Bombyx mori: one gene and its partner. The protein of the gene in region 1 purifies or fractionates together with the protein of each later gene. This does not show direct contact. Links are inferred from orthologs where the notes say so. Each region holds a gene or a part of one and is shown on either strand. Other genes may lie near its edges.

What was found.
Region 2: the proteins of Rybp (region 1) and DDB1- and CUL4-associated factor 7 purify together in Homo sapiens (affinity purification with mass spectrometry; 3 studies listed by BioGRID and IntAct, counting the BioPlex papers as one, with this or other methods). This does not show direct contact. The link is inferred for Bombyx mori from reciprocal best matches to the Homo sapiens genes YAF2 and DCAF7.

Annotation. Positions count from the first base shown.
Region 1 is NC_085134.1:5,452,729-5,469,797, forward strand, and holds Rybp (ring and YY1 binding protein), read right to left. Parts: upstream 9,554-17,069; 5' UTR 9,385-9,553; coding exon 9,249-9,384; intron 5,071-9,248; coding exon 4,892-5,070; intron 2,819-4,891; coding exon 2,714-2,818; 3' UTR 2,421-2,713; downstream 1-2,420. Other genes in the region: Or-11 (olfactory receptor 11), read right to left, coding at 14,706-14,817, 15,477-15,565, 16,021-16,122, 16,732-16,828. UniProt on the Homo sapiens protein: Binds to MYC and inhibits MYC-mediated transactivation. Also binds to MYCN and enhances MYCN-dependent transcriptional activation. Increases calpain 2-mediated proteolysis of YY1 in vitro.
Region 2 is NC_085118.1:1,105,525-1,122,626, reverse strand, and holds the start of DDB1- and CUL4-associated factor 7, read left to right. Parts: upstream 1-9,282; 5' UTR 9,283-9,513; intron 9,514-9,676; 5' UTR 9,677-9,697; coding exon 9,698-9,759; intron 9,760-10,174; coding exon 10,175-10,277; intron 10,278-11,076; coding exon 11,077-11,212; intron 11,213-11,730; coding exon 11,731-11,981; intron 11,982-13,027; coding exon 13,028-13,153; intron 13,154-13,947; coding exon 13,948-14,129; intron 14,130-15,327; coding exon 15,328-15,526; 3' UTR 15,527-17,102. Other genes in the region: uncharacterized protein LOC134199889, read left to right, coding at 2,276-5,419. UniProt on the Homo sapiens protein: Involved in craniofacial development. Acts upstream of the EDN1 pathway and is required for formation of the upper jaw equivalent, the palatoquadrate. The activity required for EDN1 pathway function differs between the first and second arches.

The DNA of each region.
Region 1 (17,069 bases):
TTTTTTTCTACCAAATCAAACTCGAATCAAATCAATTATATTTTCGAATTAACAAACACATTTTCTTAATAATTAAAACCAAAAATATGTCGCTGGAAAATTTTGAAGATTTCTTTACTTCATTTTTTTGGATATTTAATAAATATAATATTATATATTGATAACAATACGCTCTTTTAAGTTTAAGTCGTAACACGATTATGTTTCTATCACCCAAAGTGTCCAAACCAAAATCCCACTACATTAATTAGTCCACGGTCAAGTTTGTTGGTTTTTTTAATCGACAAATTAATGATAATTATAAGCGAAACTTTTCTATACCTTCGGTTCCCATCGTAACAATTTTAAATCTTATCAACTAGCTTTCAACACAAATAGCTTCATTATAAGAGGATCAATGGTGTTTCGTAATAACAAATATAGAGGACCAACATACGAGCAAAGAAATCGATGAAATTTATCAACATAATATACCACATACAATATCTTCAATGTACAAACACTTCTGTTTCATTATATGTTATAAATAAATTACACATACAAAATTTGTTTTTAAAAAAAACTACATTATAATGTTTATATTTCAGCATTTCTTAAAAGAAAAGCATTATTACCAATTAGTTACTTACATATTTTTTTTCTACTATGGTTACCAATTCATATTTACATTCCTGGCAGTGACCCGCTGGTCTCAATTTATTTCTTTCAAATTTATATATATATATACAATATACTAAATTTACACACAAGCAATAAACTAGAATAATTTATTGAAACAATTTAAATGGCATTAGGTGCGTAAAGCTCAGTTACAAACGTCATTAAAAACAATATAATTTAATTATTGAACAGCAAATAAATATAAATTAAAATTAATTCCGATTCGATAAGTGTGATGTTAAAAAATCACTTTTTATAATAAATAAATAAATTAAGGAATAAATAAAAAAATCATTAGCTTATATATCATAACTTTTACATTTACTTAGGTATACAGACGATCATACTGCATGATCGCTGGTTAACGTCGCCCATGCCGAACAATTCGAATGCCATGTTCAAGATCATGCACTTGGACTGTCAACAGTAGTACTAGATTTTATAGATAAAATATAACTAGGTCAGTCTAAATCTAAATTTCAACTACAGTAAAGCGAATACAAAAGAACCTTCCGTTTTAGTCTCAGCGCTGTACACTTTAGTGTTTTCAGTTTCCAACAAATTGAATTCTCCCATTCCTATTGCTCTAAATTGTACATATCGACGCTTGAAAGGCAAACGTGACTAAGCGACGATAACTGCTTTGTACATAAATGATAAGCAATAACCATATTCGATGCGCAAAAAAAAAATATAGTTCTGGGTCTATTAAAATCATTTCAATCCTACAGCTACTAGCTAGATTCTACTACAGCTAGATTCGTTAAAATAGATTTTTTTTCATGTATTTCAGCTATAAATTAGTCTATTGTAAAGTTCACGCATTGTCGCTTAGTCACGTTTGCCTTTCAAGCGTCGATATCTTCTCTGAATAGTATAAAAGAAATACAAGGCATGTTTCGGTCTGTCTCCCGCTCACTTCTAAGACGCGCAAATTTTGATACCATCTTGACCAACCGACAAATGAAGAAGACTTATGCATGTGATTTGTAAATACTTTAACAAAATGACGAAGTTACGTCAAAACAAGCCTGTTCTCACTGCCGTAGATGCGAGCGGAGAGCTAGCCTATGTCTAAACTATGTATATATTTCCGTAAACGACATCGGGACTTTTTGGCGGGGACGCGAGGAGTGAAGTTGTGTGATTTGTTTTATTTTGTCTATTTAGTGTTTCTTCAGGTTTAAATGTTTAATAACGGTATTTATTAACTGTTTAATATCTGTGAAAGTGCACAAATGTGGGAAAATGAAACAAAGCCGCTGGACGTAACTTCCCGGGATCCTCCAAAAAGTCCTAATGAAAAAATCTCAGTAAATGACCACCATTTTACTGAGATTACCTTTCATCCCATATCATCTTATCTCATTTCATTTAATTTCATCCCAGTTGATTAATGTCTCAAATTAATCATCTTCACTTCATTTCACTCCATATTATCATTTTTCATAAAAATTAGAACATAAATTAAAATAAGACATGACTCAAAGGTCTCAGTTACCAGCTCATAAAACCCCCTATATAAAAAAGTAAACAACATCGCGGTCAATTTAAACAACAGCAATACCTTTACGCTTTCAAAATAACGTATTTATTACGTTTAGGTTAGGAAAAAAGTTAAAACGACACAATACTGCCACATTAAGTACAATTGTAACTTTAAAACGCAACTTAATTATCTTATGTAGTCCAAAAGTTCGAGAAGCAGTAATGACGCTTAGTGCACTGATCCCGTACTAAAGTTATCGCCGTTTTTTTTATTGCTTAGATGGGTGGACGAGCTCACAGCCCACATGGTTTTTAAGTAGTTACTGGAGCTTATAGACATTTACAACGTAAATGCCGCCACCCACCTTGAGATATAAGTTCTAAGCTCTCAGTATAGTTACAACGATTGCCCCATCCTTCAAGCCGAAACGCATTACTGCTTCACGGCAGAAATAGGCGGGGTGGTGGTACCTGCCCGTGCGGACTCACAAGAGGTCCTACCACCGGTAAGGTATCGTGTTGAGAGCTTTGTTATGCTGGAGCGGGATCGGGTGTGCTCTGGAGATCAAGGTCGCGCGTCGTTTGAAGATTCAACGTCACTCGAGCTGCTGGAAACCGATTTCTTCGGTTTGTATTCGGTTATGACAACGGTAACGCCACTCACTGTTACCTAAGAAGAGAATATTTCAGTCAAACAACGCCGCTACTGTCCCGGCTATTACTTACTAACTTATGACGTCACTATACAGATAGTTTATTTCATTGTTGTGTAGACGGGGTGGCCGTATGGATGCTTCGCAGCAGAAACAGGTCATTAAAATATATATTATATTCTTTAAGCCTGGTTATTTTGGTAACGATATTAGGTCGAAGCAGTAAAGTTGTTTATATATATGGACCGTTTATTTTGAAAGTGGTGTAAGTCCATTTTCTTTTGTTTCGAGAAAATTAAAGGTTACTATATTTGTTGATTTAAAAATACAGGCAAATCATATTATTGAGGTCTGGCTATGCCGTCTACCTCTGTCAATTGGACTTACACCACTTTCATAATCGATGATTATGCAATTTCATTTACCGACCGATTTTAAGTTGTAAAAAACATGGGATTTTTTGAGAAATTAAACACGGACAAAAAATTTACATTAAATTAAGCATGAATTACGTGATAGCTCATTTTTCTCAAAAATAGACTTACACCACTTCAAAATAAACGGTCCATATATATGTGTGTGTGTCAAATATATGGTAGTGTGTAATGTGTAAAAAAAATTTAGTGTAGCCTTGGCGAAATTTGTGATTATAGAAGTATAAAATGTAATCATAAAAAGTATACAAGCTTATAATTTCAATTAATTATAGTCGAATTTCGACTGCCGGGCGACCGCTAGTAAAGTTTTAATGCGAGAAGACGATATACGAGGGCTGCACTAAAAGTATCGGGAATGGAATATTTCCACTGTTCCTGTCATATTAAAATCTTTTTAATTGAAAACTCCTTGATTTTAAAAATCGAATACCATTTATTTATTTAAAAAAAGATTCTCGGTTTTGTCACGAGGTTTTGTAAAACTTGTTTAGTCGTTGAGAAAATGGAATTGACTCGAGAAAATTCAAGAGCGATGATTTATTATGACTTTCGAAGTGGTTTAACACAAAAACAGTGTGTTGACCGGATGATTTCTGCATTTGGTGATGAAGCCCCATCCTAAACCATAATTTATCGCTGGTTTGCTGAGTTTCAACGTGGACGTGTCAAGCTCAGTGATGATCCCCGTCAAGGTCGTCCAAAAACTGCAGTCACCCAAGAAAACGTTGATGCTGTGCGTAAGTTGATTGAGGAAGATCGACATGTGACATACCGCGAAATTCAGGCAACTTTAGACATTGGCATGAGTCAAATACAAATAATCTTGCATGAACAATTAGGTGTAAAAAAGTTGTCTTCCCGATGGATACCGCATTCGCTCTGTGAAGAGCAAAAAGCGGCTCGCGTTACTTGGTGCGTCAGAACTCTCGAAAGATTCCACGCAGGATCCTCAAATACTGTATACAACATTGTATCAGGTGACGAATCCTGGATATACGCGTACGAACCCGAAACAAAAAACCAGTCACGAGTTTTGGTGTTGGAAAATGAGTTAAAGCCAACAAAAATTGTTCGTTCACGGAGTGTTGCAAAAAAAATGGTGGCCACGTTTGTCTCTAAAACCGGCCATGTTACGACTATTCCTCTTGAGGGACAAAGAACGGTTTATGCAGAATGGTATGCTAGCATTTGTTTGCCACAGGTCGTTTCTGAACTCCGTAAAGAGAACTGCAACCGCCGCATCATCCTCCATCACGACAATGCGAGTTCTCACACCGCGCACAGAACAAAAGAGTTTTTAGAGAGAAAACATAGAATTATTAGACCATCCGCCGTACAGCCCCGACCTAAGCCCTAATGATTTCTATACTTTCCCTAAAATAAAGAATAAATTGTGTGGACAGAGATTTTTATCACCTGAAGAAGCTGTGGACGCCTACAAAACGGCCATTTTGGAGACCCCAACTTCCGAATGGAATGGTTGCTACAATGATTGGTTCCATCGTATGGTAATATGTGTCAAATTTCGCGGAGAATACTTCGAAAAGCGATAAATACATTTTTAAATATAATGTTGTGTCCCTTCGTTAATTCCCGAAATTTTCAGTGCCGCCTATGTAGATATCCTAAACATTCGAATTTTGTAATTCGTACCTCTCTGGTTTGGGCCGAGCTGCGGTCCACGTTGTTGAGTCTCGGCGGGTGGCGTCGTTTCTTCTTGAACGAGTTCGCCGAACGAGGCCGCTTCTGGACCGAGCTGCCCGTGGGCGCCGTGCCGGACGCTTGCGCGGCCACCAGAGCGGGGTTGAGCCGAGGCTTGCGGGTCGATGTACCTTAGCGGAAACGTCACCTGCGTTAAATGATTCGTTTGCCGCTGAAGCGCTTGTGAATTATTTTTTTTTAAGAAATTTTCTGACCTGGTAAACAAGACCTTTAAGGTCAAGTCTTATTTTAATTTTAATGATTTTTTTATTTCTTATATGGGTGGACGAGCTCACAGCCCACCTAATGTTAAGTGGTTACTGGAACCCATAGACATGTACAACATACATGCGCCACCAACCTTGAGATATAAGTTCTCAGTATAGTTACTACGGCTGCTCCGCCCTTCAAACCGAAAAGCATGACTGCTTCACGGCAGAAATAGGCAGGGTGGAGGTACCTAGCCGTGCGGGCTCACTAAAGGTCCTACCACCAGTAAACTTTTTTATATGAAAAATGATAGAAATGAAATGAAATGCGATGAAATATAATCTCAGTAAAATAGTGGTCATTTACGACAATGCCCCTGTCATTGTTGACGTCCATGGGCGACGTTAATCAGTCACCTTCAGTTGGGCCGTGTGCTCGTCTGCTTAAAAGGGCAATAAAAAAAAAGCTAAGGGGTTATTCGTTGAGATTTGAATATTTTGAGAACTACCGTCTATTTGTCTATAATAAAAGAAAATGACTCGACTTTTATTTTTTTTCCATTCACACAGAAAACAAGCTACCAGGCCTCCAGATACTGTTTGTTCTTTAGTAAACACGTGATTAAACCTCAAAAGTTATTTTAATTATGCCTGCCGGTCGCGACAACCACAGACAATACAAAAACAATGGCCGATACGATTCTGAATCAATAGTTTTCAAACAAACTAATTTAAAACGTCTAACAAACATCCTTTAGTGGGTAACCGTTGAAATTCAACTACAGAACATAAGGTCGTAAATACGATTTTAGAAACTGCGAGGAGCTTAGTACACGGCTCCCGGAGGCACAGCGGAATTAATGAATGTACCCTCCGTTAAGGGCTTTTGAAATTCTCAACCTGCACTATTAGGGTTGCCACCTTTTTTTGCAGATAAAGTACATCGGCTATTATGGGTAGGAAAAAATGTACATAATATGAAAATAAAGTACAATTTATTTAAAATCTTTTATTAATTACATCATATTTTTTTTAAAAGATTTTATAAATTAAATTTAAAAAACACTATATAAAAGTAGATTGCCGCTGATGGCGGTGTCTACGACACAAGCCACCAGTGGTTAGGACTCCAGAGTGAGAAACCTCCTCACAATGCGTGCAGTATCGAGGTAAAATGTATTTATTATTATTATGTTTAAATACATATTTTTTATTACAATTGATAAAATTAAACACGAAATTGTGACAATTAATGACAGTGACATTGTTGACATTTGAGGTTAAGTTGCGTTCAGATTTAATTGTTAAAAAAACGACGTATTTCGCCTAACGAAAAAATACATATTATGACTAAAACTTTTAACAAATAAAATCTTTCCGTATACTTTATTTTTCAAATATACTTTATTTTTCAAATAAAGTATAGAGTACAATTACCTGAAAAAACGTACAATACTTTATTATAAAGTACGCGTGGCGACCCTATGTACTATGTATAGAAAACGTAGGTTTCTCTTCGATTTTCGCGAGTCACAGATATAATTTAGAGCTACTTTTACCGTTCGATCTCGCGTTTATTATTTTCAACGTTTCTAATACTTTTTACAGTTACCGTGGTAATCACGTACGAGTCAACAAGAGTCGTCGAGAGTCAGTAGGACTATGTTTACGATTAGGAATTTCAAAATTTCCAAAATAATTTAATTGAAAAAAAAAATTTTTTTTTATTGCTTAGATGGGTGGACGAACTCACCATCCACCTAATGTTAAGTGATTATCGGAGCCCATAGATATTTACAACGTAAATGCGCCACCCACCTTGAGATATGAGTTCTAAGGTCTCAGTATAATTACAATGGCTGCCGCACTATACAAACCGAAACGCATTACTGCTTCACGGCAGAAATAGGCAGGGTGGTGGTACCTACCCGTGCGGACTCACAAGAGGTCCTACTACTTACCAGTAAATAGCTCATTATTCAAACCTCACTTGTCTATTACCATAAAAACTATGAAATATTCGGACCCATTGCAAAAATTACCTCACTCAGCTACCTTCGTACCAAAACAAACTAATTCCTTAACGCCAGATTTAAAAAAAACAATTTTCCAAATGGTCTCTCATTTTTCAATTAATTTTCTTCAGTTTGTTTCAAGAGACCACTATAACATGTCCTTCTTCAAACAAGTATTTGAAAAGTGTCCTCAGAAGTACAAGTTACTTTAATTGCACATTTGACATTACAGAATTCTGTGAGCAACACAGTAACCATTTACCATCAGTTGTCCTGTAAGAATGTGCCAATAATGAAAATGGGTAGAAAGAATAAATTAATCTTATATATGAGTCGACTATTATCAAAGCCGGCAATCTGACTTTTGGACAATGATTGGTAAATCAGAAAAACGAATTATTGACTTTGTATTCCATTGGCAGTCACAAAACTCTTCGGAACGACATCTTAGATAAATAACAGGTTAACTATTAACCTTTATTTAATGCAGGTTTTGAACCGTATTCTTTGAAGGAGACGATTATATTCAAATCAATCTGTATTGACATACCAATAAAAATTTTTGTCCAAATGCACAGATTGCCACCTTTGATAATAGACGATTCATATACAGTGTTATAAGTTTATAAACCAACATGCTGGAAATTCCCATGTTATTGACAATATTTATCGATAGTGACACACATTGATAGGGCAATCCTTGTAGTAAACATACACAGAAAGTATATCTTATACATACAAGAAACATGTATATTATGATAGAAATAAACAAGTGGTGGCAATGAGCAGCCTTATCACTTCTATATAATAAGAGATAATTTATATAGGTTAGTAAATATATGTTTCCAAAATAGAACATCAGTTGTTTTCCAGAGAGCATATCGACGCTTGAAAGGCAAACATGACTAAGTGACAATGTGTGAACTGTACAGTAGACTAATTGAAAGTTGGAATACCTGAAAACAAAATTTATTTTAACGAATCTAGCTGTAGTAGAATCTAGCTAGTAGCTGTAGGATTGAAATAGGTTTTAATAGACCTAGAAATATATATTTTGTTATGTACAAATCAGTTATTGTCGCTTAGTCACTTTCGCCTTTCAAGCGTCAATATGTATGTACATTTTTTTTTTTTTCTGGACTATGCAATAATATTGAGATCACAACATGAATGTCCTCGCTCATTAAGTACTTATTTGAATAACGGTAAGCTCTTCATACCATAACAAATGAGTGCTTTGCCAACAAAATTAGTATAATACTGATGTCTAACATCATACACTTAAAGTTATGCAAAATGCCAAATATGATGGAATATTTTAATAGCAGTTATGTATATATGGTGGTTCATGTCCATCTCATGGTATACTCAAGATTGCTTGTTGTAATTAGAAACAGCCATTATACTTTTCAGTTAAGATTTTTTTTTTGTCCAGTGTTATGTACTATTTTGATATACAAAAACACAAACCTTTCTACTTTGTATGTACAGAAAACGAAAAAATCTAAGTCAGGTCATCTAGGTAATTCGTGTTTGATGCTTTGCCTATTTTGATACAAGAACATTATAGGAAACCGTCTTGAAGGTCTACTAGAGAAGCAGCCGGTAGAAAAATGCACCGCTATAGTGAAGTTTTTGGTTACCAATTTAAAAAAAAAATTATATTCTACTACTTACTGACTTCGGTGTAGAAATACTATGATTACTTCTTTCCGTACTTTTATTGCGGAACTTTAACTCGTAATCAATGTTTGATACGTCGAGATTTTATTCTTATATGAATCTCATACTTATTCGCTCTTATTCGTAACGTCGCCCTAGACTAATCAATAATTTTCGTCCTTGGTTTAGGTTTTAGGTTAGAATTTGAATACGTAATGTGAATGCCCTTTTATACTTAAATGTCTGCAGTTCTGAGCGTTTTATTATATGAAAAGGTTACGTAGTTAATTAATAAAAAGCTCATTGAAACAATCATCGTGTTAAGATACGTGGCTCTGTGTGCGTGAATTAGATCATTTAGGTCAAATTCGTGTGCAGAATTTACATATATGAAAAATATTGGCGTTCAGTTACAGTATTTACCTTTTCTAACGTCACACATGGAACATTTGAAAGCTTCCGCGTTATTCCTGTACGTGCAAACACTACAATCCCAGTAGTTTTCTTCCAGCACTTTTGATGGCCTTTTGGCTCTTCTAATGGCATTTTTCTTGTCCATTTTAATGCATACACGCAACTAAACGTAGCTAAGACACGTCTATCATGATATTTTTGATTGAAAACTATTATTTCTAATGCACAATTGTGAATTAATGCGTCGGGAAATCATTATTTTTGTTTTACTGTGCACAAAGATTGTACACTTTTACGCCATGACAGCCGTCAATGTTACGTCGGTTAAACAGCGTGAAGGCGCCACATTCTTCTGAGCTGTTTTAGCTACAAAATAGCAATACTAGATGGCGTTATTCATGAATTAAGATTTATAAATTTTTCTTAGAATAAAATTCAAACATAATAATAAACAGCGAATAAAGTACATAAGTATATTGTTGGTTGGGCTTAATAGAAGACCGAATGCGGATATGGTCATTTTATTATTGGTCCCAAAATTCAAAAGGGCTATTTTGCGGCAAAGACAGGCAGAATGGTGGTGAACTAGTTGATAAAATTAAATAATAACGCAAACGTTACCATAATAATATTATTCTTTCCGTGGATTGTTGAGGCGGGAGGTGGATCTTCTTAGTATAAGGTCTATGAACCTAGTCTTATCTAGTCATTCATTACTTTGGAACCAAAAAGAATTAGCTGATAGCACAAGTCTTTGACCAGCCACAAAAGGGCCGCTACATTAAGTAAAGGTCAAGAACTCCAAACGTTTTAAAATTCGAAATATCTATTCCAAATGACACACCAACACTAAACCACTGAACCCAAATATCAGTCAACAAAATTGTGTACATTTTTAAATAGGTACCGATACTTAAACGCAGAAATTCAATTATGTGTCTTATACTGGTTATTTTAAAGCTTAAAATCGTTTAAACAAAAACTATGAAGCACGGTAAGCCTTTGAGAAATATTTCTATGCCGTTTCTTAGAAAACGACCCCTTTTTTGTGACGGCGATAGAAATAAAATCTCTACCTGAGTTTTACGAAAGAAGTCCTTTCATTTTTTTCTACTTGAAGCGAAATACGCGTGGTTCAAAAATCTTGGATCTTTTCACGAAAATTATCAATTTAAAACGAACGTTTAATTCTAACTTTGAATTTATTGTTTTTTTTTTTTCTAATACGAATCTAATTTCAGCCTGGCTTTCCTTGACCAATAAATATTCCTTTTTACGAAAATTGCGCGGACGGAGGCGTTGAAAATTTCCACACTTAAAGAGAATATAGAGAAGTGCACAATGCTAATATTTTTTTTAAATAATGCATAAAATATACATTAATTAAATCAATAAGGAAAACATTACACACACTACATACCATGTATTTAACGCACACACGCATGCATACTATTTATTATCAAGCTTTTGTTCTTGACGTCTGTTGTCAAATTGAGAATAGATTAAACATTGTTTGTCTTTGTTAATATTTTTTTTAGTGTAGTCTTGGCGAAATTTGTGATGATAGAAGGATAAAATACAATTATAATAGTGTACAAACTTACAATTCCAATTAATTATAGTCGAATTTCGACTACTGCGGGACCTCTAGTACAATTAAATAAATATAAAATAGTTTGTATCTCAGGAATGTGGGCAAGATAGGATCATAATAACAAATTACATTATTATATTTGCAACGTTTCGGTCTTTTATTAGACCTTCATCAGACATCATAATATGAATTCCAACAATCACTATCCTACACTGCACAATTGCCTTAGTCATCATAAATTAATACAAATCAACAAAGCTGATAAATTAGTTAATTATTATTCTTGATTTTAGAAATAAAGCAAACACGACACATAAAAATTGTTATTGCGTGACAACGGTTAGGCCAAAATAATAGCAAAAATAATAATGCAAATTTGTTATTATGATCCTGTCTTGTCCACATTCCTGAGATACAAAATATTTTATTAATAATTATGGACGATAATATTGATAATATTAAATAGATATATTCGCCGAAGGAGAACAGTCTTAACTAAGCGATTTCTAAGGTTTTCGCGGGTAAAATTAAAACTGTTTTTAAGATTTAATCTCGGGTTTATTTTCGCAGTCGTCCGAGATCACGGGGCTGTAAAGTATGCGAAACGTCGGAAGTAATAAAATAAAAATAACTAACGCGTGCTTGCACCGTAAAAGTAGTTTTAATTATAACTTAACTAAGGTCTAGATTGGAATGAGTAGCAACACTTTATAAGCTCACATACTCATGTAATCAGAACGCAAATTATAACGGGTGTTTTATTGCTAAATCTCTTTTATTAATTCGGAGAGAGAGAGAGAGAGAGAGAGAGGGAGAGAGAGAGAGAGAGAGAGAGAGAGAGAGAGAGAGAGAGAGAGAGAGAGAGAGAGAGAGAGAGAGTATGATTTTTATTGTATCTACATCAAAATAAATAAAAACACAACATTTTAAATACGAAAAAGTACAATGGGCTAAAAGCGATATCTTCCGAAAAACCATCAGGTTGTATTTATTTTTATTGCCCTTGTAAGCAGAGGATCATACGGCCCACCTGATGGTGAGTGGTTACTGTCGCCCATGGACTTCAGCAATACCAGGGGCAGAGCCAAGCCGCTGCCTACCGTTAAGTATTCTCCACAATCCTCGTTTACTTGTACTTTTTCTTCGTAGGTACATAACTCCTTCATCGCATGCAATTTCGAAAAATAGCCTTTAAGTACGGAGTCTTAAAATCTTAAAAATGCTACTTAACCCCCTTCATCCTCATGACTTCAATTAAAGGTGCGTTATATTTGTTCTAAGCATCAACAGTTCGATTTTTTAAACTGAAATTCAATTAAGTTTACCCCATTCAAATAGGCGAAGAAGTTTTTTTTGTTATGATATTTTTGTCGTCTTTTTGTTATGATATTTTTGTCGAGTTTTAAACATTAAATGGCTCTCCTATGAATTTGAAAAAATGTCGCTTATGCCACCTTTCACCCCTCGATATGTTGACCCAAACAAAGTAAGAAGTTTCAAAGCTAGTTTACTGGTGGTAGGACCTCTTGTGATTCCGCACGGGTAGGACCACCACCCCGCCTATTTCTGCCGTGAAGCAGTAATGCGTTTCGGTTTGAAGGGTGGGCAGCCGTTCTAACTATACTGAGATTTCAGAACTTATATCTCAATCTGGGTGGCGCATTTGCGTTGTAGATGTCTATGGGCTCCAGTGACCACTTAACACCAGGTCGACTGTGAGCTCGTCCACCCATCTGAGCAATAAAAAAATATATAGTTTTGGATTTTTATACACAAATTTTATCTAGCACTCTTCACTGGAAACCTTCATACTCTATAGTGCAACTTGCTGTGTTCAAGCCCACTGAGTTTCTCGCCGGATCTTCTCAGTGGGTCGCGTTTCCGATCCGCTGGTAAATTCTGCGAATTTATATTTATATTTATATATTATATATATATATACATCTCCGACTGTTAAAAAAGAAAGAAAGAGGTGTCTTAATATGGAGACCCGATTAGAAGGGAGTTCCTTTTGCTATATCTTTTTTGTGTTTGTATTTTTTGTATAGCCTTTATTGCTGATATATAAACAATGATTTTACATACAGTAGCAAATTGTTTTAACTTAAATCTAATACATCGGGTTTCCCGGTTCAGTGATCAGCGTATCCTGTGACACATAGGTCCCTTCCAGCTGCTTCCATTCTTCTCTATTGGTAGCTTTTCTGAACCAGTATGTCCCTCCAATCATCTTGATATAGCCTGTCCAGCTTCTAGCTTTCCTACCTCTTTTTCGTTTGCCATCGCGTGGCAGCCATTTTGTTATAATTTTAGTCAATTTCATTCTGCTTTCCCTTGTCATATGTCCTGCCCATCGCCATTTTAACTCTTATTTTCTTTAGTACGTCTTCCACCTTTGTTGTAGATCTAATGTCTGCTGCTCTTTTGCGGTTTTTTTGTATTTAGTAATAATTTAATTTAAAAAAGTTAAAGAGTCAGTCTAAAATAATTAAACGAATCACAAAATGTGAGTGATCTTTGCTCAGAATTCGTATCTCAAATGCATTCGAATAATTTTGTAATATATTATTCATTAACACGAACAATCTAGAATGTTTAAATTGTAAAATAAAATACAAAATAATAAAATTCTCTAAAATGTCAAAAGTGCAACGACCCCAAAACGCATTTCGTCGCGTCTACTTAAATTGCGTGCAATGTTACTAAATAATATCTTAGCAAACGCATTAAAACATTAAAGTTTCTTATTATTTCAGTAAAAAACGTAGCTAGTCAACGACTGTATATAGTTTGTAGTAAGGCGAAGTAAGACCAGGCAGTGCTTAAGACCTGAAAAGAAATCAAATCCAATTACTTAACCTTAATAATATGTGAGGTGAGTGACATTTTCTTCGGTTTTGCGCGAATTCGCTAAAGACATAAATTTAAATTTAATTGTTTTTTTTTAATAACCAAGAATAAATCACGCGCGGTCATCTGGCCTTAAATCGGATTCCCTGTGTTATAGGTACGAGAAACTGATAAAAATACATATATATTTTTAAATATATAGACATATGGATACCAAACACCTAAGCAAAGAGCAAATAAAATTGTTCATCACACAAAGTTTGCCCCATGTAGGAATCGAACCCACGACCATCGGCCCAACAGTCAGGTGCGCTTAACTACTGCATTACCGAGTCAGTCAACCTATTTTGAATACGCTTTTATTAGCTACAGACGTATGTATGTTAGTATGTATGTAACGGAATCTTTGAACATGATTTTGACCCCCTTCGGACTAACTCGAAATTGTTGGCATACTTATTAAGGACCGATGACAATTCAATATTAAAAAAATATATATTGAAAAAATTGAAATTCAACTAAAAAAATAAATCATATTTTTAAAAAACTAAAAAATTACGCTTCTATAGAAAGCCCGACTAAAAACGAGAAAATAAATTTGAATAAATTTGAATTAAAAATAGTGTAAGAAAAAATGATTTTATTGCAAAATTTTATTGTATAAATTTATATAGTGTTGGAAACGAGAATAAGAGTAATTATTAATGTTTAATAAATTACCTCAAATACTTTTTAAAGGTATTAAAAAAAAAAAACGGAGAGGATGTTTTGGCTCTGTGGTGAAACTTATTAATAGAGTTATTTGATTAAATTATGGTTGTCAACAATATATTATATAAGGTAGACAGTCAGGGAATGCCTATGACATTAAGTCCGCCTTTATACTGTCTAGTATATAAAGCTATAATACAAATAAATAAATATAGCATCTAATTTTAGTACCTACTACTAACTTAAGCGCTTTGTTTAAAAATGAAACTGTCTCTAAGCTAAGTCTCTAAGAACTCTAAGATTGTTTCTATTTATATTGTTGGAAGTGTGGTTATTGATGCTGACGTAAAACTTACCCTCATAAACGCCTTTAAATTGACGTAAGCGAAATGAGCAGCCGTCAGCTCACAAGGTTTCTGGGCCCTGCGGTGAAAAATATAAAAAAAAATTGCAATGTTTTTTTTTCGTGAAGTGCGGACTGGTTATCATTCTCGCCGAACCCGTCGCTTGCGACGAAGGGCTCGACGAGTAAATCAACCCACAGACATAGCCCACTGAGTTTCTCGCCGGATCTTCTGGGTCGCGTTTCCGATTCGGTGGTAGATTCTGCGAAGCACTGCTCTTGCTAGGTCCAGTGTTAGCAACACTCCCGGTTTGAGCCCCGTGAGCTCACCTACACGTTAGGGTGAAGCTGAAATAGCCTCAAGGCTATCAGCATAGGTAAGATAAAAAAAATTGCGCTTATACCACTATGTGGGTTGGGCGCAGAATCTCCTGTTTTTCCATTCGACCTATCATACGTCATCTCTGCACTGAGATTCTTCTCTCGCACTCACTCTTTCACACAGTCCGTCCAAGTATCTTTAGGGTACCCCCACTTCACAATATTACCTATATTTTCTATTACCGTTTCTTGCGATAGAATCGAATGGAACTTTTTGAACAAAAACCTGAATCGCACAAACTGCATTTACAAGCTGGCATGTTATATTCAAACAACAACTTTCGGTGCTTCGGTCTACTTAGCAATGTTGTTCCCTACAGCTTTACCGGAGAAAGGTTTATCATGAAGCGTCACTGACCTCGTGATGGTGAAAAGCAAATCTTTTCCCGTTGACGCTTTTTCGGTGTACCAACTGCAATTGTATACGGCATTACCGACCTCTTCGCTCTGAAATTAGGTAATAATGTAACGCCCGAATTTGGGTATCGATAGATTCGTATAATCCCACCACTATTCTATCGTAGAAAATACCGAAACAAACATTTTAAGTGCTCGTAGTGGAAGGAGAGAGATCAAGAGAATCAACTATCAAGTGCTGGCTAGATCTCCACGTGACGTGACCGGCACCAGAAATTAATGACGTCACATCACCAGACAAAGGATAAAACAAATAATTAAAACTATTTTTATGGTTTCATCTCATCGCGTCTCGACTACTGTCGCCTTGACTACCAAAACTGTAGGTAGAGTATTCGAAAAGTCTTAAATAATAAACCCGAGATTAAACCGTAAAATTTTTTTTTGTTTAGAATCGCGAAATTCTAATAAAATATTGTAGATACAAGTCATAACATTGCCTCTTATAGTAATGAATTTGAAAACAATAAATTATAGAAACTTACTGCGCTCATCAGCATATCGAAGAAGCAGAGGAAATATACTTGCATTAAACTCATGGCCAGAAATATAAGATATGTCATTACAATAGTTACGTCGTTCACTACCTGTAATGTGAGCAAACAATTGGACTTTATGATTTAGATCCCTTTGCTCAATTTTTTTGGTGCTAATCAAAGAAAACTATAGGTAATGCAAAACAGGGTATGCGAGGATTTTTTGGCGGGAACACTAGAAGCGAGCTGTGTAAATTGTTGATGTTCTTGGCCCTTTAACATATGTAAAAGTTCACAAGTGTGGGAAAATAAAATTCTCCGATTCTTCCAATTCTTCCAAAAAGTTCACTGAAGTCTCAGTAAATAACCATAATTTTACTGAGTCTTTATTTCATTCTATCTCATCTCATTTCATTCTAATAAGTTAATCACAATTTATGATAGCCTCAAATATATCAATTTCATCTCATCATATAATGTAATATAATGTATTTAATATTTGAAGATTCTTAAAAACTCGACACTGTTAACAAAGGCATTGCAAGAAGCCAATTGTTATACTTAAAAAAAAGAATGGGGCAAAATAATACGCAACAAACAATAGGTCACCAATAAATTGAAACAAGGACATAATTAAAAAGCAGTGATTAACTACTATCATCGTCTATTGTTCACACAAATAAGATAATAATAAAAAAATAAAAAAAAAAAAACAATTACCGTAACATTGAATGCGGACAGACAAATAACTAGAGAACTCAAAACAAAGTTTGATAATGTGGACTTTGAGTAAATCATTTCTAGAATACTCGACGATCTGCAAAATGAAACGTCACTATTAATTTACGCCTGTCTGTGAATTATAGAAAAAACCCTCACTTTTTTTTTTGCATAAATCGGTGGACGAGCTCACAGCCCACCTGATGTTAAGTGGTTACTGGAGCTCATAGACATCTACAACGTAAATGCGCCACCGACCTTGAGATATAAGTTCTAAAGGTTTCAGTATAGTTACAACGGCTATCCCACCCTTCAAACCGAAATGCATTACTGCTTCA
Region 2 (17,102 bases), on another chromosome or scaffold:
AAGTGCCTAAAACTGAAGAAAGTAAATTAAGCTTACCAATTCCAGAACCGGAACAGGTTGCAAGCAACATAGAAATTAAGTCGCCTACTCTATCTCCCCGTGTCACAAGAAAGACCGCCGCATTCCTCACTATGTCCGAACTCGACCTAAATACTCTGTTTAAATTTGTTAAATGTTACGATGGTAGCCGCGATACCCTCAACTCATTTTTAGTTAATTGCGACAACGCATATGATTTAGCATCAGAATCACAGAAACACATATTGTTCAAGTATATCCTTAGCCAATTAAATGGAAAAGCAGAAATTGCCTGTTCCATCAAAGAGTTTTCGACATGGGAACAGTTAAAGGAGTTTCTCAAAGCTCAATTCAGTGAGCGTAAACATTACTCACATCTTTTAACCGACCTTCAAGAAAGCAGACAAGGGACACAAGAAAATGTCGGTCAATACGCTCTACGAATCGAGACATATCTATCTCAACTTTTAACAGAAATCTCCCTTTCGAACACAAAAGTAAAAGAACTCCCTGGTCGGACAGCGGCCATGGAAGACCTGGCTCTACACCACTTCTTAATGGGACTTAATCCCCGAATAGCAACGATTGTGAGATGCAGGTCTCCCAAAACTCTCAATGAAGCTATCAATATTGCAATTTCCGAAGAGCGCATTCAACAAAGCATGTTCAACAAACGCCCTGTAAATACGGAAAATAGGTTTTCTAAATCTAACAGAATTGATAATTTTAATCAAACTCCCTATCGTCCACAGACCTATCGTCCTAATCCTAATAATTTTAACCGTAATAATAATTTTAATAATAGCTTTTGCCGATACTGTAAATCCTCCGGACACTCTATTGAAAATTGCAAAAAGAGAGAATTTAAAAATCGTGCTCGTGAATTCGAAAATCCGTCTACTTCCGGTTTCAGACCACAACGCGTAAATTTTGTTGATAAATGTGAATACAAAAATAACACAAACGATTACGAGAACAATTACACTGAACTTGAAAACAATGACAACGCACACGAAAACGCTAAACCAAAAAACGAGTAGGTGGCCCGTATAGGTGTCGTGCGAGGCACCACAATATTAACAAATTCGACGCTGCTCCTACTAAGACCATAGTGTCACCTAATAATAAGAAATCAAACACATATCCTAAATCCACTGAGTCCCCTGAGTCCCCTGAGTCCCCTGAGTCCACTGAGTCCACTGAGTCCACTGAGTCCACTGAGTCCACTGAGTCCCCTGAGTCCACTGAGTCCCCTGAATCCACTAAATCCGCTGAGTCATCTAAAACAGAAACCAATAAAATATTCGAAATAAACGTCGATCCTACAAAAAAATTACTTCCTTACGTCATAATCGATTCACCCATATCGGAAATCCCACTTTCTTTACTCATTGATTCAGGTTCAGCAATCTGTTTATTAAAATACTCTTGCTTCCAAAATTTCCCCAAACTTATAGAAGAACAAATAACTTTAAAGGGTATCGAACCAGAAGTGAACACTACAAAGACAATGGGTCATTTCACATTAAAAATGAAACTAAATAGTTCATCCCATGACTCAATAAATCACAAATTCCACGTCATAGACAAGATTCATCTGCCTTATGACGGCATCATCGGATCAGATATGCTGAATCATTTCGGCTGCATGATTGACTATACTAAAAATCAACTTAAATTAAATAAAACATATTTACCACTCCGTTTTAATGAACCAACTTATACTATACCTGCTAGATCAGAAATGATAATCGAATGTTCCGTTTCAAACCCTGAAGTTAAACAAGGTCTTGTATTAGATCAAACTCAATTAAAGGATATCCTAATCGCAAATTGCCTAGTTAAAGTAAAAGAAAACAAACGAATAAACTTAACTGTAGTAAATATCTCTGAGTCTCCTAAAACTCTAACTTCAAACCTCAACATAACTTTGATTCCACTAGAACCTTCTGTCTTACATTCAAAAGAAACTTCAGAACAATACTCAATAAATACCGTTCAAACCCAAAATACCTTCCAACGAACTAAAGAAGTCCTAAATCAACTTCGAGTATCACACCTAAATTTTGAAGAATCTAATTCTCTTTACCAAATATGCTCTGACTATTCAGACATCTTCCACTTACCTGGTGAACCATTGACATCAACTAACGTACTACGTCATAACATAAAAACCACAACCAATGATCCTATCCATGTAAAATCATACAGATTTCCCGAATGTCACAAACATGAAGTTCAAACTCAAATAGAGAAAATGCTTAAAGATGACATTATACAACCATCAATGTCTCCATGGTCTGCTCCTATTTGGGTAGTCCCGAAGAAACTTGATGCCTCCGGCCAGCGTAAATGGAGAGTTGTTATCGATTACAGGAAACTAAATGACATCACTATAGGTGACTCTTATCCTATCCCCAACATAAATGAAATTCTAGATCAACTCGGAAAATCAAAATATTTCTCCACGTTGGATCTTGCTTCTGGATTTCATCAGATCCAAATGTCTGCCGAAGATGCTCCTAAAACCGCTTTCAGTATTCCACAAGGGCATTTTGAATTTAAAAGAATGCCATTCGGACTCAAGAACGCACCATCAACGTTCCAGAGATTAATGAACTCTGTCCTCTCAGGTCTGCAAGGCACTCGCTGCTTTGTGTATCTTGATGACATTGTAATATACTCGTATGACCTTGACTCTCATATGAATAACCTCGAAAGTGTATTTAAACGTCTACGAGAATTCAATCTTAAGCTTCAACCCGATAAGTGCGAATTCCTTCGAAAGGAAGTCTCGTACCTTGGCCACCTGATCACTGATGAAGGAGTCAAACCTGACCCAGCTAAGATCCGAGCCGTATCTGAATTTCCAGTTCCTAAATGCCCGAAAGATGTAAAATCTTTCCTAGGGCTTATGTCTTACTACCGAAAGTTTATTCCAGAATTTTCAAAAACAGCTAAATCATTAACTTCCCTATTAAAGAAAGATACCACCTTCACTTGGAACAACGAACAACAACTCGCTTTTGAAACACTCAAAAATCGTCTAATTTCTCCTCCTCTCCTCATATATCCCGATTTTACTAAACCATTTACCCTCACCTGTGATGCCTCTAACTACGCAATTAGTGCTATCCTCTCGCAAGGAGATCCAAATAGAGATAAGCCAATCGCTTACGCATCCCGGACCCTAAACAAAAGTGAAATAAATTACAATGTTACAGAAAAAGAATTATTAGCAATTATGTATGGGTGCAAAACTTTTAGACCTTACCTATATGGTCAAAAATTCAAAATCATAACCGATCATAATCCACTTAAGTGGCTTTTTAACCACAAAGACCCCTCAAGCAAGATGCAAAGATGGAGATTGAAATTAGAAGAGTATGACTACGAAATAACCCATAAAAAAGGCAAATTAAATTCAGCTGCAGACGCACTATCCAGATACCCCGTCAACCCTGTCAGAAGCTTAAATAATATAAACTCTGACCCAATTCCCGTCTTACCTATTTCTGACCCTCTGATCTCTTCTCAACCTGTACCCGAACAAAATCCACATCACTCTAACACATCTAATAGTGAATCTCCTCTTGAAACACTTCCTCTAGACGGCTTACTTACGTCAAGTCCTTTTAACCCTGATGATTACAACTTACCTTCACTAGAACCCCTTCAAGATATCGATCTCCTACCAAACAGTCCGTTCAATCCTGAAAATGAAATAGATGACCGCAATCTTAATAACAATGATAACATAAATCCTCCGACTAACAGTACTCCCAACCCTATGATTGATGATGAAAACCTACCAAGAAATCCATCAATTAACCTTCCGAGTCCCGAACCAAATTGTGAATCCTATACAGACTTTCTGAAAACTTTATCAAATAATAACCATACTTACAATACTAAAATTTGCGAACATGCAAATTCATTACTATCAACCGATTCAAAAATCATAGTCATTCCAACATCCATCGACCTCGATGAAACTAATCCATACATTGAAGAAATCCTGAATAACCAAGAAAATATCTCTGAATTCCTTAATGAAGAAAGAACCTTACATTCATTCCTTAACCTGAATGTTAAAGATAAATCTTATTATTTTTTATTCACAAAAGTATATCATTTCGACACTCCTCAGTACCCTCAACTATTTAAATCCTTACAAAATCTCCGAAATCATTTACTTATAGAAAAGGACATTCCAGTGAATATTGCTATATCAGACTTTAATGATCCATTCTTTAAACCAACTTATTCTAAAATATATAACATTCTTGCTTTTTTATTCCACAACACAGATATTACAATTAAAATCTACAAAAACTCAGTAGTTTTTCCAGCCCCTAGCGAGATTTCAAAAATCCTTAAAGAAAATCATGACCTTCCCATCGCTGGTCATGTAGGCACATCACGAATGTATAATCGTATTAAAGAAAAATATCATTGGAAAAATATGAAATCAGACATTGAAAATTATGTGAAAAAGTGCATACAGTGTCAAACGAATAAGGCGCTAAGACAAATAAACAGGCAACCGATGCAGATAACCTCTAGTTCAACAGCCCCATTTCAACGCATCGCCTTAGACATCGTCGGACCATTACCAGAAACTGGTCAAGTTAAGCTTAAATATATATTAACATTGCAAGACGACCTAACAAAATACTCTACTGCCTACCCTATTAGTAATGCCTCAGCCGAAGAATGCTGCGAATGTCTCATACATTTTATATCTCTTTTCGGAATACCAAAAATAATATTAACAGACCAAGGTACAAACTTCACCGCCGACCTTTTTAAGAAAACTTGTGAATTCCTCAAAATCAAACAATTATGGTCTTCGCCCTACCATCCTCAAACACAAGGAGCCTTGGAAAGGAGCCATTCTACACTAAAAGAATATTTAAAATCATACGTTAACGAAAATCAAACCAACTGGCACAAATATGTTTACACCTATGTCCTAGCCTACAACACTAATGTACATACTACTACAAAATTCACACCCTACGAATTACTCTTCGGCCATAAACCCTATCTACCCGATTCTATTTACGATCCTAGTCCTAGTGGTACCTATCATGAATATGTTAAAATGCTAAATCATCGCCTCAAATTAACACGCGATAAAGCTTTAGAAAATATTCAGAAATCAAAAGAAAACTCCAAAACCTATTATGACCGAAGGTCTCGCCCTTCCACGTATAAAATCGGTGATATGGTATATCTAAAAAACCACTTACGTCTACGGAAAGCATTATCACCCTTATGGAAAGGACCATACAAAGTGGTAAAAATACATGGAAACCACACACTTTCCCTTCTCATAAATCGACGACACGTAAGACATCATTATGATGAAATTAAACATGCAGAAGTTGAAACCTAATAAGTATGATTGTGTAATTAATATGATTAATTATTTTATTAGTTTTATTTCCTCTCTAGTATAACTTAACTCAGTAGCCTTTAAGTTAAAAACATTTATCGTAAAACATAAATAATAATAAATACATTCTCTTACAGCCTGTCGGCACCATGTCAAGGCCTATCACGCACTCGAGAAATTACCAATATCGAACAAATTACGAAAAGCCCTGGCATTTACTTTAATCCCTCGGGATCTGTTAGGATAATTAGTGATTATTTACATGTATTAGTACCAATGGACATAGACTACATTAAACCCCATATAGATAACATTCAGACGGTTTTGCATTCAGCCAGATACTTCTGTACTAAAAACAATGTGGTTGACGACCTAGAGTGCGAGAATATGTTCATGCCCCTTTTATCTATGTTCAATGATATCTCAAGGGACTACCACGCCATTTCTCATCTTATCCAAAGTAAATCAAAGAGGTCTGCGTGGATTTCCGGCATCGGCACTATTCTTAAACATATAATAGGCACCATGGATGAGAATGATGCTATAAGGTATAATAAAGCCATTCAAATACTTAAAGATAATAATAGAAAAACTCTAGATTTGATAAAAGAAAATATCCTTATCTCCAAGTCGGCAATTATAACACTCAACGAATCCATAATTGAAATCAACACTAATGAACATAAATTAAACAAAATGATTGAAAACCTATCTTCCAGTATTAAAAACCTAACAAAGGCAAGTAATGCCTTGTTGTTTAAATCTACAATACATGACATGATAAATGTTATTCAATCAAATATGTTAAACTTGTCCTATAAACTAGAAGACATCATAAACTCAATTTTGTTTTCAAAAACCAATACGCTACATCCATCAGTCATAACACCCAAAGATTTGTATTATGACCTTGTTAACAATGTTAAATATCTACCTAGATATTCGGAATTAGCTGTAAGTTTAGAATTAGAAAACATATATGTACTTATAAATCTCTCGGAAATTATTACATGTATTTTAGAAAATAAGCTTATATTTAGTCTTAAAATTCCTCTAGTACTCATTGATACTTATACTTTGTATAAGACAGTACCTATACCAGTACCCCATAATGTAACATCCAAATCTTTTGCACTAATACTACCTACATGTTCTTATGTGGCCTTAAATCAGAGAAAATCGAAGTATCTTAAACTCGATAATCTTTCTAAATGTAAATCTATTAATAAGGAAACTCATATTTGTAAACAATTAGATGAAATAGATATACAAGACTACCCCATCTGTGAAACAGAAATAATGACAAAAGTCTTGAAATCACTTCCGAAACAGTGTAAAACTAAATTTTTATACGGCCATGCCAACATATGGCAATCCTTAAATAATAATAGATGGGTCTTCACACTATCTGAACCCACTAAACTCAACATTGAGTGCACAGACGAAACTACCGAATATATAGTTTCAGGAACAGGCATATTATCCCTGAAACCAAACTGCACTGGATTCTGCAAAAACATAAAATTAATAAGTAAAAGTTATCCTGAATATAAATTCAGTCACATACACTCAGAATTCAATTTAGTAAACGATACATGTTGTAACCCAGCAGTGTTTGAAAATTATAATTATACCGAATCTATTACAGGACTGCATAACTTAGAATCGAATAATTTAGACCAAATAATCAACAAAGCTGATAACATGCTACAAACCTTAAAACATTTAAAATCTCAGAACGAATCTATTTCGATAAGCACTCCCCATTCCATTGTCACATACTTATTTGTAATACTATTTGTTATTTTTATATGTTATTATTTTTGTCATAGAAAGTGCGTGGCTTTTGTGCGTAAATCTAAACCAAACGAAAACACGACGCAAATAAACACACCCCCACAAGAAAATATTCAACTAAATACCCAACCGCGAATAAGAATCCATTAAACTTTATATTAAAATAATCATCGAAAACTTCGGAAAGCCGTAAGTTTTCGCTTAAAGGGGGAGCTGTTATAATATTAACTAGTATATTAATTAATTTACCTAAGACCGAAAAGTGCCTCTAGCAGCACTTTCCGGCCTAACATATACTAGAGCCCCGTTGGCTCGATGTCAGTCACTCTGCGTCGTTACTATGAGCCACACTCTTTCTAAGTAGAATTTTGTATCTTCAAAGTGAATAAAATCTTTTTTAAAAAGAGTTTTTCAAAGTCCCGTATAACAGAGCGCATTCCATTACGCTAACCCGACCTTACGAATTCAGCGCATGAACGCCATTACTTCGGTTAAGGACGAGTCACGCTTTCTTTGTTACCACACTGGCCACTGCATTAGGGACCAGTTACATAATAGTTTACCAGCGTAATAAATAATAATAATAATAATATAGCATCCATTATGGATTTGGTTCGGATAGCATTTGCTGATTTCCGAACTTGGAATGATATTAATGATACAATAGACTTAACTTTGTATACCTAAGTGGCCGACATTCTAAACCCGTAGAATACGGATAACGGATACAGAACTATCCGTTACTTTAACAATTCCTGAAATTTGATCAGCATCGATGGAAGGTGTAATTAACTCACGTGGATCATTATGGGACAAAGCAGTCATAATATGTTATATTTTAACTGTTTTGTTTCTTTATTTTAAAATTTAGTTTTAGTTTATTACAGATTTAGGCTATAAAAAATTAATTGGGGCCTTCGTTTTCATTTTTGAAGATTGTTATCATGTAATCACGTTCCGTTTTCTATTGCATCTGGTTTCTAGTTACCACGAAATGGGGAACACACAACTCAGGCGAGCAGACAGACGCTCTTCGAAACGTCATGGCATTCGAACAAAGCGCCTAATAAAAAGTTTTACATTGCCAGTGTACTTTATTGCTATTAATTAAATTCGGGCACTTTAAGTATCTATAATAATCTTTAACATAGTTATGAGTTAAAAAGTTATACAAACTAATAAGTCTGTCCTTAATTTTTAATTAAGAAACTGAGACTGCCCAGGTATCTAGGCAATAAAAAAATATTATACACAATAATAGAAAACGTAAGAAATTTAGAACCTTTTTACCTACGATATCAGATCAGGAATATGGAAATTCGCAGGAAAACCGTAATAACTGACATAGCCGAAGGAATTGTGAGATTGAAGTGGGCAGAGCATTGCTCGTAGAACAGATGGCCACTATGGCTGAAACGCTTTCGAGTGGCGACTGTGTAAAGATGTAGCTTGGGTGGAGCTCCCACAAGGCAGACCAGCTACCTGTTAAATATAGCGGGAATCCGCCGAATGCAGACAGTGTAGGACCGGTCGTTGTGTCGAGGCTTTGGGGGGGCCTTTGTTCAACAGTGGACATCTGTGGATATTGTCGTTTATTTAACTTTCTATACATAGCCTGGTTTTACTACTCATTCAGTTTCGAATAGGTAGCTTACTCATTATTGAATTTTTACCAGGCATATGTCTTCAAATCCAATTTCGTCTTATTGCAGCCAATTTAATTTATTTTTAAATTATTTCATTTTCATTCATAAAATAATTTTCATTACACTTTTTTAACAACTAACAGAGATTCGACATATACTAAAGTAGGGACCCGCCCTTGCTTCAGAAACTGTAATTGATTATTGATTTCTCCACTATTTAATGGATGTTATTATACATATAAACCTTCCTCTTCAATCTCTATCTATTAAAAAAAGCGCATCAAAATCCGTTGCGTAGTTTTAAAGATTTAAGTATACATAGGGATATAGGGACAGAGAAAGCGACTTTGTTTTATACTATGTAGTGATGAGGTTTACTCGCAGATGCTAAATTCCCGTTGCCTAGTCAAAAAACGAAACGAAAAAAAATTAAAATGTCAGATTGTCCTACTTGCCAGTTGTCAAATTTTGTAAAAATAATGCTTCATGCTTGTTTTCTCCACACAAAACTAAGTTTTTAGTTAATTTCCAATTATAAAATACATTAATTGAAGGTACAGAAGCTCATGGACAGTTCAATATTTAAATAGGTATATTTAAATCAAACATAACAAAGCCGCTTGGTGGCCATTCTGTGATATTACGGCAAAGGTACATAAAATATATATTTTTTGTAAATTTAAAACCATATGTAAAAATCTAAAAAATATAACTTGAAAGGTATGAAAACTTACGTACTTGAAAGACAAAAAAAATAAAAAAGTCACTATTCATTAAAATTTCATATAAATATCATTTTGATTTGTGTTTTCAGAAACATTAAACATTATCAGTGATGTCGATGCCACACAGCAGTTCGAGTACCAGTTCAGGCACGAAACGTAAAGAAATATACAAGTAAGTAACGTTACAACACAATATGAACTATAAATAACAGATTGGAAATAATTGACAGTATAAAATACAGAGTTGACCCAATTTTGAGATTGCTAATTATAATTAGGTATAGCGTGTTATTTATTTCTGTACCCATTCCTATGTTTCGAAACATTTGTAATACAATCAAGCAGGCATTATGGGACTTACTAATTTAATGCTTTAGATGTTTTGAAATATACAGATAATCCTTTCACAATTCCCGAAAAGAACTAAAGTGATGTTAACAAATTGCAAAAACAGCCTTATCTTGATAATTACGTACGAAATTTGAGTTGTTCATACAGTTAGGTTAAATTCTCATAAACGAAGTTGTGATAAAAAAAAAACACTATAAGCTAGACAGCTGCATTTCTATGTCACACATCTTTTACAGATACCAAGCGCCATGGCCATTATACTCAATGAATTGGTCTGTCAGACCTGACAAGAGATTCAGGTTAGCCCTGGGCAGTTTTGTTGAGGAATACAACAATAAAGTAAGCTTTTACAGAGCAGTTATTATATTAATTTAGTAATTTACAAAACATACCAACAGGATTAAGTAAATACAGTATAAAGGCCCAGATAATGAATCATGCAAAGCTAATGCAATTTTAGGGAAGTCAATTTGTCAAAAATTTCCCACTCATTGAATTATAAAAGATAGAGGTGTGTGCCTTATAATCTATAAATGCATAATATTACCAAAGAAAATACACAATAAATTACATATTTTTGTTGTTGTTCATTTTTCAGTAGTTGACAGAATTGGTAGGAGCACTTAGTTTGTGGAGGCTGTTCTTATAGACCAAGTAGACAAATACAGCAAGAAAAAAAAAATTCTAAGTAATTATTGGTGCATAATATTACTTACTTAATTCCACCATTAAATTAGTAAAAACTCAACTACATACTACTAATTAGTTAATTGTTTAGCATAATATACAAACATATAGTAAGTAAACCAGGAGTTCCCAAGATATATAACCCACTTAGACACACAATAACTTGACCGCAAAGGTTTTAATTGGTGAGTATGTTGTATGAATAGGAAAAGAACTAGGGATAGGGTTTTTTAAATAATTTGGGTATGGGGTTTTGAGGTATCAGTTCATTTTAAAAAGGGGTCTGCCAAAAATTGTTTTATATTACCTAATATAAATGAATTTATTAGTTTTCACTACATTGAAGGATTTTTAGTGAAAACTAATATATTAATGGTTTCATTTAACACACATACTGTATTGTAGCATTCCTTGTGCATGACATAAGCTTAATAAAACTCTTAAATCCTAGGTACAAATAATTTCCCTTGATGAAGACACAAGTGAGTTCACTGCAAAAAGTACCTTTGATCACCCGTACCCGACCACCAAGATTATGTGGATACCTGATAGCAAGGGGGTGTATCCAGACTTGTTGGCAACTAGCGGTAAGACTTCGGTAGCAGTTTGTTAGCACTAAGATTACCATATTTAATATGGAGATAATGAGGCTTGAATTTACTTTTACACTGCTACATAGACAAAAACATATACTCCCAAAAATAATGCTTACAATATCATCTCTCTCTAGAGAAACAGTATTCATGATAGTCTTTGAGCTCCATAAACCACTGAATTGTACTTAACTGAGCCTGTCTATCTCCTTTGTCGTCATATCACTCTTGTCAGAGCGGTTGTGGTCGTCATTCAGCATCATTGCTGAGGGCAGATGTTATGCGCCTCACAAGCAATCGCTACTCCTCCCGGTTTGTGGTGAGCCTGGTACACTCATGCAAACAATAATAATCAATCTACATAAATAAAAATAAGTGATACCCTATGAGTACAATATGAATGATTGTGATGTTAATAGAGGCAACTTTCGTTGACATAAACAGTTTTGATAAATAATCAAATTCAAGTAAAACTATTCAATAAAATTTCACAATGGTGCCTTATGTTGCAGGTGATTATCTACGCATATGGCGTGCCGGAGAGCCGTACACATTATTCGAATGTGTCCTAAATAATAATAAGAATTCTGACTTCTGTGCTCCTCTTACATCCTTTGATTGGAACGAAGTGGATCCTAACCTCATTGGCACCAGTAGTATTGACACGACCTGCACCATCTGGGGCTTGGAGACTGGACAGGTCTTGGGCAGGGTCAATGAAGTGTCTGGGCACGTGAAGACTCAGTTGATCGCTCATGATAAGGTTTGTGATTTTTATTTAATAGAAGATCTTGTTAATTCATTTGTGTCCAAAATTTATGTTAATGATTATCTGAAGATTATTGGTGTCTTCAAAAAATTTTCGTTCTGCGAATCTAGTATAACCCCTCGAGGTTACAAGAATATGTTGAAAAAAAAATTTTTTCAAATCAATGTATTCAAATATGTTTAAATCACTTATTACAATTTTGACATGATACATATTTATCAAACTAAAGAATTGCAGGATTGAAATGGGCATGTTACATACGTGCCCGATTTCATAATGATCACATAACATTTTAAGTTTTAATGTAATCATAAGCATGTAGTGTGAAGTATATTCAAGGATGCTCACAACAGATACTAATAGAATTTTATTCTATTGGAGATTCCATTAAAAATCTATTAGCATACACAAAACTGGTGGTAGGACCTCTTGTGAGTCCGCACGGGTAGGTACCACCACCCTGTCTATTTCTGCCGTGAAGCAATAATGCGTTTCGGTTTGAAGGGTGGGACAGCCGTTGTAACTATACTGAGACCTTAGAACTCATATCTCTAGGTGGGTGGCGTTATTTACGTTGTAGATGTCTATGAACTCCGGTAACCTCTTAACACCAGGTGGGCCGTGAGCTGGTCCACCCATCTAAGCATTAAATAAATAATAATAAACAAAGCCGAACGTATACGCCCCTATCTGGTTTTATACACCTTGACATAATACAAGATGCACTCTGCGTGTACATCTTGCTAGACACTGTAAAGTGATGGTTACTTGAACAATAATTTGTCCTTGTCTAACTCGCCTTAGAGAAAGGTGGCTGAACAAAACTTTATATACATGTGGGGGTATACGAAAAAAAGGTTCGACGGTCCGAATGTGGTCGTTCGGAACCTGCATATAGGCAAGCTTATTAAGCTATAGCAAGCTTGAAAATGTCGTAAGCGAGATTCGGGCATCAGTCAAATATCTTGTGTCGTGTGATGGCTACCCGCCACATGCAACTTCTCGCGTACGGCAGCCCTAATGCCGGTGTTTGTGCGCAGGAAGTGTACGACATAGCGTTCAGTAGGGCCGGCGGGGGGCGAGATATGTTCGCTTCCGTGGGCGCCGACGGATCCGTCCGGATGTTCGACCTCAGGCATCTAGAACATTCCACCATCATTTATGAGGTAAGTACAGGAGGCAGTAAGCAGCGTCTTTCGGCGCTCGTGCATGGGCGCATACTATCATTATTTGGACATGTCTCCCGGCGAGTAAATGACTCCATAAAGCGCCTTATCGTTCAGGGCAAAGTAGAAGACACCAGACCGCGTGGAAAGTTGCACATGCGATAAACTGACCAGGTCAAGTCAGCTATTGGCGGCTGTTTGCCTGAGTGTACCAGGCTCACCACAAACCGGGAAGAGTGGCGATTCCTCGTGAGGCGCATAACATCTGCCCACAGCAATAATGCTGAATAACGACCACGATCGCTCTAACAAGAGTGATACGACAAAGATAAAGATTCAAGAGGCCTGCGGCACGAATGACTAACACAATGAAGGAATGCCGCGTTAAGTCCGAGTTAGTTGACCATGTACTGTGGTAGTAAGACGTCTTGTGAATGTGCACGGATAGGTACCACCACCCTACCTATTCTTGTTGTACTGTGAAAAGTGAGGCCTTAGAACTCATGTCTCAAGGTGGGTGGTGGTATTAACTTTGTACACATCTATGGATTCCGGTTACCCCTTTAGCACTACGAGGGCCGTAAACAGCAAAGTAGAATCGGCAAAATTGCGGAATTTTCACTGTAGGTAGTAAGATCGATATCACAGATCTGCAGTATCGGGCTGCAAAACAGTCGTCTGTGAGGACCCGTGCAGTTTGCCTGTGAGCGCCACGAACTGGTCTGATCGTGTTTATGTTGAGAAGCTGCTGTCAACATAACAAGTCTTATGGCAGACTGTAATGTAACACGCAGGACCCTCAGCACACCCCGCTGCTCCGCCTGGCCTGGAACAAGCAGGACCCGAACTACCTGGCCACCATCGCCATGGACGCGTGCGAGGTGATCATACTGGACGTGCGCGTGCCCTGCACCCCGGTGGCCAGGCTCAACAACCACAGGGCGTGCGTCAACGGCATCGCCTGGGCGCCGCACAGGTTCGTAGGCCAGGTAGTAAAGTAGGAGCATCAAGGTTGCTAAACAAGCCCATCCGATATCTCCTCCTCTGGGACTGTGTTCCTCAGCGCATTATACGCAAAAGATAATTTGCGTAATGACTGGTGGTAGGACCTCTTGTGAGTCCGCACGGGTAAATACCACCGCCATGCCTATTTCTGCCGTGAAGCAGTAATACGTTTCGGTTTGAAGGGTGGGGCAGCTGTTGTAAGATAATGTAATACTGAGACCTTAGAACTCGTATCTCAAGGTGGGTGGCGTATTACGTTGTAGATGTCTATGGACTCCAGTAACCACTTAACAACCGGGTGGGGTGTGAGCTCGTCCACGCACCTAAGCAATAAAAAAAACAATGTTCTTGTCGTCAAGTTCTTAGAACTCTTCAAACTAGACTGTGCAGCCGAAAACACCAACTTTTGTTCTAATTCAGTCCGTAAGGTATGCTCCTTGTATTGTGAACGGACCACAATAATATAAATAATAGTTTAAAAAAAACAAAAGAAACGCTTTTATAGAAAATCCAACTAAAAAATAGAAAACAAATTTTAATAAATTTGTTTTTGTTGTGTTTGTAAATGTGTTTTTTAAAATAAAATCATTTTTTTTACACTATTTTTAATTCAAATTTATTACAATTTATTTTATATTTTTTAGTTGGATTTTCTATAAAAACGTGTTTTTTTTTATAACTTTTTTTTAAACTATTTTTATTTTTCATTTTTTAGTTGAATTTAAAAAATTAAATTTTTTTTTTTAATATTAAAATGTCATCGATCCTTAATAAGTATGCCAAATTTCGAGTTAAACCGACGTTTTGAAGGGGGTCAAAATCACGTTCAAAGATTCCGATACAAACTAACATACATACGTCTCATAAAGCTTATTAATAAATAATAATTACAAAATTTTAACCCTCAGACACAGCCCACTGAGTTACTCGCCGGATCTTCTCAGTGGGTCGCGTTTCCGATCCGGTGGTAGATTCTGCGAAGCACGGCTCTTGCTAGGGTTCGTGTTAGCAACGTCGTCAGGTTTGAGCCCCGTGAGCTCACCTACTAGTTAAAGTTACGCTGAAATAGCCTCTCAAAGCTCTCAGCATAGGTAGAAAAAAAACAATTAGAATAGTATGAATTCTTTTGTGTTATTTCGGTTCGTTTTAAAGTGAAATTTTTAATTCAGTTCTTGTCACATCTGCACCGCCGGAGACGACCACCAGGCCCTCATCTGGGACATACAGCAGATGCCGCGCGCCATAGAGGACCCGATCCTCGCCTACACCGCCGCCGAGGGAGAGGTCAACCAGATCCAGTGGGGCGCCACACAACCCGACTGGATCGCCATCTGCTACAACCGGCACGCCGAGATACTGCGCGTCTGAATATATCCTGATTGTACAATCCGGTGTGCAGTCGTGTGGACTGTAACCCCTGAAGCCGGCGTGTAGTTTGACGGTAGACGACAGTCGGTTAAACAATATACATATAGTCCTTAGAATCGGACGGTCGCAACAGATGATCCTTCGAGCTTGATTGTTGGAACGGGTATTTTAGTTGCAACATTTCAATTATTTTATAACTAAGAATTCTAGAAATAGTTCCTGTTTTTATTCAACTTTAATTAATTGTGCTCCTTGTGCGTTTTAAGGTTGAGAGAAATTTAGCAATTAAACAAAAATTAAAGGAATTTAAATAACACACTGAATACAAAACCTTGAATACAAAAAAATTATTGGTGAACGTTGACAAACTTGTATGATTTAAATTGAATGAATGATATTATAATAATTTCAAAATTTCCACAAACATTTCTCGAACAGAGTCCCCCTAACTCGAAGGTGCATTCTTTACACTAATCTATTATTTATAAATGGTAATAAAAGTAAACGTGTCGTGCTCGCGGCTGACAATATCTTGTCAATCGCCAAGATAATGTTGAGCTTGACTCCGATACTTAGGTATACACATTGCACTAGACCCCGCACACAACTTCATTACATACAGATGACTTTTTGGCGGGAACGCGAGGAGTGAAATTGTGTGATTTGTTTTGTTTTGTCTTTTTAGTGTTTCTTCAGATTTAAAATGTGTAATAACTGCGGTTTGTTAACCGTTAAATATTTGTGAAAGTGCACAAATATAGGAAAATGAAGAAATTCAAATTTATTCAGATTGCAGTACGAGCGAGATGATCGTTATACAATACAACTGATACAACTGATACTTCGACTTCGTGGTTTAGGACGGGTGACGCTAATCACGACGTGATGTCTATGGGCTTTTATTGCCTTTGTAGGCAGACGAGCATACGGCCCACCTGATGGTAAGTCCTTACCGTCACTCATTGACGTCAGCAATGCCAGGGGCAGAGCCAAGCCGCTGCCTACCGTTAAGTACTCTCCACAAGCCTCGTTTGAAGAAGGACATGTAGCGCTCGGGAAATACCGTGGAGGGGAGCCCAATCCATAGTCGGATGGTACGTGGCAAAAATAATGTCTGGAAAAGCGCACTGTGGGTGACCGCAGTGGCTCCAGGTAGTATGGATGAACTCTACTCCGGTGGCGGGCGGGCGATGGTAAAAAAGAGATGTTGGTATCATCTCAAACAATTTCTCAGAGCACTCCCCATGGAATATAAGGTACATACTCTGATAACTACGCCGTGGGTGGCGCTGAGACGTGGGTCCGTCACTCCTACGCAATAAAAAACGTTTTTTTTACTTACAAAGGCTGCTACAGCACAGTGACTTATTTGGCATGATAATAAAAAAAAAGACTGAAATTAACTGTTTGTATTTTTCCTGTATTCCAATATTATAAAATTAAGGAATTTTGGAGTAAAATTTTTCAAACAAAAAATATTAGTTTATTGTTTGTGGTCTTAGTGGGATTTGGTTAAAAATGTAATCGAAAAAATATCGCATTTCTTTCAAATTCGAAAATTGTAAAGCTAACGATT